Nothobranchius furzeri: one gene and its partner. The main gene of each other region encodes a partner of the protein of the gene in region 2 in a complex. Links are inferred from orthologs where the notes say so. Each region holds a gene or a part of one and is shown on either strand. Other genes may lie near its edges.

Region 1 (4,442 bases), on a different chromosome or scaffold from region 2:
GACCTCCTTGCCTGGCGGTATGCTTTGGACTGAACTGACCCAACACACCCACTGCTGACTGACTGGCTGGCTGAAATTCGTGCCTATGTTTACAGGGAGCCTCCGATTGGTGGGCTCCTTATCACACCAAATGCTGGGGAGTAAGCATTTTTCTGACTGCAGCTAAGAGCTGCTGCTCCAGTGCGAGGACAGACTTCTTTGAAGAGCACAATCACTCGCAGTCTCAGTCAGCACACTTAAATGCACACTGACTGACATCTAAGTCGATCCAGATCGATCTTATTTTAATACGCTGGGAGTCTTTATCCTAGTTTACATGCGCATTACAAAAACGGCCTCTCAAATAAAGTTGGTTCCACTCTGGTACAGTAGGTGGCGACATGCCACTTTTCATGTCAGCATTTTTCCGGTTAGCTTATAGCAACACAAGTAGTAAACAGAGGCTGGCGGGAGTGAAGCAGATGGAATTGAAACAGGATGTGCACAATGGCTGAAGGAATGCACAACAATAACGCTGCAGCACAGCTTATTTGGTACGTACTGTCCTGTTTCATGGTGTTACAGGTGCTGCTTTGTAATGATGGTCTTGTCAGAACTTCCGCTTTCGCGATCTTGTCACTTCCGAATCGCGAGCGTTCTACCGGTTTATTTCGGCTGAACCATTTACATGCAGAATGTAATCTGATTGCTACTGCATCATCTGGGTTCTTCAGCTCGATAAGAACCAGCTCACCTTCAGCCCGACTAACGCGTTCACGTGCATTTTAAAAATTCGGCATTGTTTTGCAAAAATGGCTAGAGAGATCAGGAAGCAACATCAGAGTCTCCAAAAGCAACACTGCTCACGGCCACCTTTGTTTACTTATGAAGGGACACCACAGACTTCTCCACATGTCTTTTGCCCCTCCCGTGTGCTCAGAGATTTCTACATTCTCAACAAGGCCGATTGTGACTGGGCTGATGCTACCAAGACCAGACTGGGCCAAGTACCCTTGGATGTCCACCTCTGCCCAATACTAGTCCCTGCAGTCAACAGCCGGGACCTTCTTGACAGGGCCAACCCAGGTGTGAAAACTACATTAATCCCACCTGGGCCTGGTTTAAACACCACAGCCTAAATGAGTACTGTTGGGATGTGGTGGAACTGGAGATCATCATCATGATGATGTCATCATGTCAATACGGACCAGAACCTCTGAGGAATGTTCCAACAACTCGTTTATTTAATGGCACACAGAATTTAGGCAGTTCTGGAGGCAAAGGGGTTGAACCCAGCCCTAGCAAGGTGGAACTAAGGAAGTGAGCCGGTGAGAGCACTAGAATTTTAATGCAGTGTTTGATAGAAAAAATAACGAAACTGAAATGCGTGACAGAAACAAAGTAGAAGGGTTTAAAATGTTTTACAGTGTTGGCTAGTCTGTACTGCGTCTACAGAAACAAAAACATGTTTGTGCGTCCTTTACAAATCTTTTAAATGTTTACAATCCCACTTAAAGAGCAAGTCACCCCCTACCAGAGAATTACTCCGCTCCCTCTTCCTGTTTGAAAAATGCAACAAATGCTGTTGCCTCGCAGACCGAGAGCGTGGAGCCGCTAACAAATACACACACAGGCTCACAACGACATTGTGACATCATATGGTACCAGCTAACATTCTAAGGTACCACTTAGCCAATATCGATGGCAGATTTAAATTCAAATGCAGTGCAGAGTTTTTACCTGACAACGGCACAACACTGACAGTTTTAGGCAGAAAATTAAAATTTTAACTAAAATGCACTAAAGTGAAAAACTATTTACGTGTCTGCAGCACGATTAGACACGCATTTATATAGTCTACCAGAAAAAAAGTTCATTTGGGGGTGACTTGCTCTTTAATCAATGCTCATGAGAAACCACCCAGTGTTAGAGATATTTTTAACTTTCACTTTCAATACTTTACCATACTTGTCACTACTGGCATGAACTTGTCTGACAGTAATGATTTAACAGGCACTAAGGGGCTAACTTTACCCACATTCAGCTAAGCGACCATACTTCACTGCATTTTTTACTTAACAAAGGGACTTATTAATTACACTAACTACAGCGCCGATGCGAGTGTTTGAGAAAATAAAAAATTACTTTTAATAGGCACTTAACATTACACATCTCATTTGAGTGTAGTGAAATGAGGTCTACGTGTTTCTAGCAACACGTTTCGTTAACCTCTACCACCAGCAGCCTAATTAGCTCCTGTTTCGAGAACAGTTGTGTTATATGTTCTAAACGTATACCGCTACTGGAGATCCTTCCTGCCAACAGCCAACAGCCATTGTAATATACAACAACTCTTTGATCACTTGATTATTATTATTCTGAGCAACTACATCAATCAATTTCCCTCTGGGATTAATAAAGTATTTTTGAATTGAATTAGCCAAAAAATATACATACATAAATACATTAGCAATTTAAAGTTAAGAGAATCAGTAACAGCGCCAACAATGCAGCCAGCCGTTCGCTTGTCCACCATTGTTGGCTGACTTACCGACGAAAGTCAAACATGTCCTCAATCCCCCGCGTCTCCATGTCTGCCTGTCGGACTTTGGTAAAAGCTAATGCTAAGAGTACAGCCTGATTTTAAAAAGCAGACCAGTCATAACGTTTACGGCAGTACGCTGGTCATGCGCGGGGTAAACTAGCAGCTAATTTGTGTTATTGTTTAGCCAACAGACTCGACTAACTGTGAAATATAACACGCAGCATATGAAAGCTATCCTAAAAGGTTAGCATAACGGTTATCAACAGATGTTTCTTCCTGTGGTGCAAATACACTTCCGGTTTGCACCTTCTAGTATAAAAGCGCCATTTCTTGAAACGTTCTTAACTAATATAGAGAAACGTTCATTTTGAGCATGTTAGCAGTAATCACAGTCTGCGTCTATTTTTCCTCTCTTTTCTGTGATTAATGGCTGAGTTGAACAATGCCAAACGCCAGATGCATCTAGTCATCACTATTGCTTTCAAAATAAGGGCCGAAACATTTAGTTTGTCTCTCGTATATGTACAGTCTATGGTCTCTCTCTAGTGTTAAAATTTGATTACTTTAGACAGTGAAACAATATTATCAGAAACATTTAAATCCAATCTAAAATTCACTTTATGGCATATAGTATGATTTCCTCCATAATTTCTGCTCCCTTAAAATAACTTATTAAATTATTATATTATAATAACTTACAGTTTATTGTATTGTACTGTAAAATATGTATTTTTGTACAAGCTAATCAATCTTAAATTACCTCACAGACACTGTCAAAGCACACATCAGTACTTTTGATTTCAGTTATGTTTATTTATGTAGCATATGATTGAAGTATAATGATAATAAAATGTTTGATTCATGGCGTAAGGCAAAGCGGAAAATAGTTTTTACAGCCCAGTTCATTTGCGTTCATTTTCTTCTTCGTTGCTGGGAGCGTGATTTGGAATCATAGGATGTCCAAGGAAGATCCCGCCTTTCTCGCCTCTGATTGGCTAACAGGGCTCTCTTACGATTGGCTATTTCATTTAATAGCAAACCGTCTTCCCTGCTAAGTGCAGAGTGCAGACTGTCATCCTGCCACCAGCAGAACAGCTGTTTTGGGTTCTGTAAAGAAAATGCGAACTTAGCGCTACAATAACCATTCTGTTCTGGTTTGCAAAATAGTTTTTTTTTCTGTTTTTAAGGGACCCATGAGGTGACCGGAAGAGGATGAGACTTGGAAGCCGTGTCTAACAAGCCCCTCCCACTAAACTCCTCCTCTAATCCAGCCCAGTTTGTTTGACAACAAACGTACATCTTGTGTAACCGCTGCTGTTAAACTAATAACGATTTTGTTTCCACGAAAACAAATAAGACGCTTTAAACTGAGTCCCGACTGAACGTCGGACCCTTTTCTTTTTGACAGCACAAGAGAAAACATCATGCGGGTCAGGATGCGCTGCTCTCCGCTAATCCCCTGGCTAGTGTTGGCCTCTGTACTGAGCTCGGTGATCGGGTTAGGTGAAGACCTAGACTGGCCTCTGTTCGGGCCCCCCGGCACTCCTATCCGGCTGCAAGAGTCCGACCTGGGATTAAAAAAGGCCCTGCTTTTCGCTGAGGAGCGGTACAACCATGGCTCCAACGCTATACACCTCCGCAGGGTCAGCCGGCTGATCTCCGCCAATAAACAGGTAAATATTTTAGTATTTTTTGCGTTTATTTATATTTTATATGGTCTTACACAAATAAATGTAAAAGCACGTATTTCACTGTAAGAATCAGCTCGTTTTTAAATGATCTGCGTCAAGTAATTAGCAAAGGTTTAGCTAAGCTTAAACCGGAAATATCAAAATAAAGGCATACATGTTACAAGCGCTATATTTACCTATCTATGTAAATAGGACCTATTACTCCTCACCGTTTCTCATCAACAGTT
Region 2 (4,534 bases):
TGTGGAATATTATCCCAAAGAATCTATTTAATGCTTTTGGTGGACTTAACTTTCTGTTGATATGTCCTTTCTCAGTAGGAAAACTCCCAGTTAAATGAAGTAATTTTCATAAACAAGCTTTATTATGTTGGAATCTTATCTTTAAACACAACTTCTCACCTCACAATTGTATTATTTGGAACAATACATATATTGTAAACAAAAATAAAACACTCTTTCTACACAATTGGTCATTAAATAATGTAAACACTGTGAATAATCTACTAAATACTACTGGCGAAACATTATCCCACAAAGACTTCTTAGAAAAACATAATATTAATACTTCACAAGAAGAGTATAACATGGTAATTAAATCCATCCCTGCTTGTATTTTCTTTTTAGCACAGACCATACAATCAAACATTATCTTGTCTGCAGCAGTCAGACCTCCAACTATCGCTGGGATTCCAATCACAGATAAGAAATGTAATAATTCTGTTATCAGAAAAGTAATTGATCCTTTCTCAACCCCGATATGTAAACATCGATGGACTTTGATGAATACAAAACTCTGGAACAGGATCTTTCTGCTACCTCACCAATATGTTATTGTGAATAAGATAAAAGAAGTTTTATTCAAAATTGTTCATAGATATTACCCGTCAAAAGCAAACATCTGTATTTTTTTCCAACATTTTCTGACATCTGTACTTTTTGTGGTTGTAAGGGAGAAACTATTGAACATGTTTTTGTTGATTGCTTTCATGTAACTTTGTTTTGGTTCCATTTACAAAGATACATTTCCAAAAAGTTACAAAAAATATTTCTTTAAGCAAATATGAAATACTTCTCATTGTTACAAACCCTCATCTATCATCCAATGAAAAATACATCATTAACTTAGTCATTATTTTAGCAAAATATTATTTACATAAAATGATTTTTCAGAAAAGTATCCCCTCCTTCTATAATTTCAGAATTGCAGACATTATGAAATATTGGAACAGCATTGAAAAATTAAAAAAGAAGAACAACAAACTAACAAAGACCATGAACTTATTTCATCATTTCAACTTAGACACAGCAGACCCCTAAGTGTTAAGTTATTTATGTTTTCGTCAGTTTTTTGTTTATTTCTTGTGTTTTTGTTTAATAGTTTCCTAATGTTGCATATATGTTATTGCAATTGTAAACAACTGTAAAATGTGATCCATGGATATATTGAATGTATTTTTTGAATGTATCGACAATAAGTTAATAAAACCTGTAACACACACACACACACACACACACACACACACACACACACACACACACACACACACACACACACACTAAATCTTGGACCGGATGTGTAACAGGACACCACAGAACAGCACTATGTTCTCTGGCGTCCTGGTGCATGGTGGGGAGAAGTCATCCGCCCACCTCTAAACGTTTGACCCCGCCCCGATCTCCGGGATGCAGTCAGGTGTACTTGGAGAAGTCTGACGTGTATCCAGACCTGCAGACCCAGAGACCACAGATTCAGACATGCCCCCCACCCCCACTTTTTCCAAAGTCAAGTTTTGACCCCTGCACTTTTTGCCGTCCAAAACAATATTACGCTCTAATAAATAAACACTGGTTGAGCTCTAGGATCAAGTGGAAAACGACCGTTTGTGTTGAAGCCTGTTTCCCTTTAGAACATACTGAAAAGAATCTGCAGTTAGTCTTGAATCTGCAGTTGCAGTTACTAGTTAGAGTTCACTTTCTCAAAAACAGTACAAGCCTGAATCTGCAGTCGACCTGAAACTGCGGTCAGGTCACAGTTGGGGCCCCCTGCTCCCACTGCAATGCGCATGCTCCTGTTGAGCGTTTCGAGTCCAATACGGCGGCGCTGCTCGGAGTTGTTTAATTTTGATTTCCAGTTTAAGTTTTTTCTTTCTCTAGCAGACACGATGGCGGGCACTGCGCTGAAGCGGCTCATGGCCGAATATAAACGTGAGTAACGTTTTGTAATCGCTAACCAACACTGATAGCCATTAGCATTAGCAGCTAGGCTAATAAGCGGCTGTGTGGAGTTCCGCTGCACCAAACTCCATGATATAATCGGTCTCTTTTAATCTTTACTTTCTTTATGAGGTGTCTTACACTAGAAGTCCGTTAAAAAGCAAATCACCTGGGCAGTTTGAGTGACTCGGCATATGTCGTGCTGCTAGTATAATTTCTCGAGAGATTATTTAATCTGTTATCAATCTCGTCCAGAAAAAGCTTCTAGTGGGATTGACGTTCTGATGAGGACCAGGACCTGGTAGCTGTGTGAGAGTCAGGAGTTTAATACACGAGTAAACGGAAGGAATCAGTTCAGAAGTAGAGGTGTTCGGTTCTGTAGGTCTCACTGATGATTCAGTTTACGGATGAACTGTCTGGGTAATGAGTGAATTACGGTTGAATACGGGCCTGCCTCAGTGACAGACAGCACAAATCCCCCAGACTCAAGGCAAAGGTAGAGTTTTTGAATCATCTGATCTCTGACACAAAACAAGGTGGACACATAAGAATGGCCCTCAAACCCTCGGGATGTGTGAATTTTATTTAGGCAGCACTTATCACAAAAAGAAGTAGTTTGGATAGTATAAGAGTCTTCAGCTGCTTGTGAAATGTGCCCAGACTGGTGATACGATGTGAACCTAAAGGAAGTTAATTCCAAAGTGGAACAGACTGGAAAGTCCAGGGGGCTCATTTATCAACCATACTTATGCACATATCCTGCCCTGCCTCCAACATGCCTCCATCCAAAAGGCCAGGTTATCCAGAGTTATCTCTGTAGTTATGCTGCTATAGGCTTAGACTGCTGGAGGACAGACTGACCACTTTCCACACTCGACTACTTCTCACCCTATCTCTAAGGGAGAGCCCAGCCACCCTGCAGAGAAAACTATTTTCAGCTGCTTGCATCCGCAATCTCATTCTTCAGTCACTACCCAAAGCTTGTGACCGTAGGTGAGGGTAGGAACATAGATCGACCGGTTAATTGAGAGTTTTGCCTTCTGGCTGAGCTCTCTCTTCACCACGACAGATCGGTACAACGTTCACAGTGCTGCAGTCGCAGCACCAATCTGCCTGTCGATCTCGCGCTCCATCTTTCCCTCACTCGTGAACAAGACTCCAAACTCCTCCACTTGGGGCAGGACTTCATCCCTGACCTGGAGAAGGCATTCTACCCTTTTCTGACTCAAGACCATGGTCTCAGATTTAGAGGAGCTGATTCTCATCCCAGCTGCTTCACAGTCGGCTGCAAACTACTCTATTGAGAGCTGGAGATCACTTTCTGATGACGCCAGCAGGACCACACCGTCTGTAAAAAGCAGAGGCACCCCTGCTCGGCGCCTCTCAGTTGGGGCAACTCCAGAGTGGTAGCGTGTCCAGCCCCTTTCAAGGAAACTGGTTCCTGAGCCAGAGCCATGTGTTGAGGTGAGTCCGACTATATCTGCACAAAACCTCTCAACCTCACACACCAAATCAGGCTCCTCCCCCACCAGAGAGGTGACATTCCACGTACCGAGAGCCAGCTTTTGTAGCTGAGGATCAAACCACCAAGGTCCTTGCCTTCAGCCACCACCGTTCACACATTGCACCCAACCCCTTTCACCCCTCCCACAAGTGGTGAGCCAATGGGAATGGGGACCCACATTTCCTCTTTGATCAACCAGCCTCCATGGGTGAAAGCCCGGCCACCAGGCGCTCACCGGCATGCCCCATCTCCAGACCTGGCTCTAGAGGTGTGCCCTGGTGACCCGCGTCCGGGTGAGGGAACACTTTTTCCGTTTATAGTATTCATCATAAGAGGTCTATGGGCTGCTCTTTGTCTGATCCCTCACCTAGGACCTGTTTACTGCGGGTGACCCTACCAGAGGCATAAAGCCTCAGACAACATAGCTCCTAGGATCACTGGGACACTCAAACCCCTCCACCACGGTAAGGTGGCAGCCCAGGGAGGGGTTCTTAATAGTTTTTAGGTAATATTTTATTTTATTATTTTATTTTTTCTTTTGTTGTGAAACGCCTCGTGATTCTGCTTGAGATGCGTTAGATAAAAGATTGTTTCCATAATATTATGAAGGATCTGTCAGAGCTCCTCTCTGGAGGAAACGCTTCTCCTTGAGACGCTGATAGCAGATCCGTCTGGAGCGATGCTGGGATCTGGGGCCCTTTGTGGAGCGACAGATAAACCGCACAAGTCCGATTCCAGTCCATGTTCTATTTTACATCTACGAGAACCTCCTCTGCTCCCCAATTACACACGTGTTGTCACGGTAAACCACACTGAAAGATAGCTAAGAGGCTGCACTCAGACATTCCCTAATAAAACTAACTCCATCCAGAACGATTCCTTAAATGAAAAATGTAAATGAGAACCCGCTACTCTATGATTAATCATATTAAAGTTTTTATTGATTCCTGACAGGAACCTCTCCTCTGTCCAGACCGCGTTTATAACCTCTGCTACTTGTTTGATTCGTTTGTATTTCGGCAGCGAGTGTCTCAATCTCGCAACAAAGTTTTTTTC

Evidence for each region.
Region 1: the proteins of ube2g2 (region 2) and aup1 are in contact, whole or in part, in a crystal structure (PDB 7LEW), measured with the Homo sapiens proteins. The link is inferred for Nothobranchius furzeri from reciprocal best matches to the Homo sapiens genes UBE2G2 and AUP1. Residues at the interface, in NP_003334.2 of Homo sapiens: Tyr13, Thr17, Pro20, Gly23, Ile24, Val25, Ala26, Gly27, Pro28, Met29, Asn30, Glu31, Glu38, Leu40, Met42, Glu45, Glu50, Phe51, Val53, Pro55, Lys156, Val159, Gln160, Ser162, Leu163, Leu165; in NP_853553.1 of Homo sapiens: Ser379, Arg382, Gln383, Leu386, Arg389, Lys390, Leu393, Tyr394, Tyr396, Ala397, Arg398, Arg400, Phe401, Thr402.

Annotation. Positions count from the first base shown.
Region 1 is NC_091741.1:29,824,094-29,828,535, reverse strand, and holds the start of aup1 (lipid droplet-regulating VLDL assembly factor AUP1), read right to left. Parts: upstream 2,802-4,442; 5' UTR 2,572-2,801; coding exon 2,531-2,571; intron 1-2,530. Other genes in the region: ctsf (cathepsin F), read left to right, coding at 3,949-4,197. UniProt on the Homo sapiens protein: Plays a role in the translocation of terminally misfolded proteins from the endoplasmic reticulum lumen to the cytoplasm and their degradation by the proteasome. Plays a role in lipid droplet formation. Induces lipid droplet clustering.
Region 2 is NC_091747.1:27,337,315-27,341,848, reverse strand, and holds the start of ube2g2 (ubiquitin-conjugating enzyme E2 G2), read left to right. Parts: upstream 1-1,613; 5' UTR 1,614-1,817; coding exon 1,818-1,965; intron 1,966-4,534. UniProt on the Homo sapiens protein: Accepts ubiquitin from the E1 complex and catalyzes its covalent attachment to other proteins. In vitro catalyzes 'Lys-48'-linked polyubiquitination. Involved in endoplasmic reticulum-associated degradation (ERAD).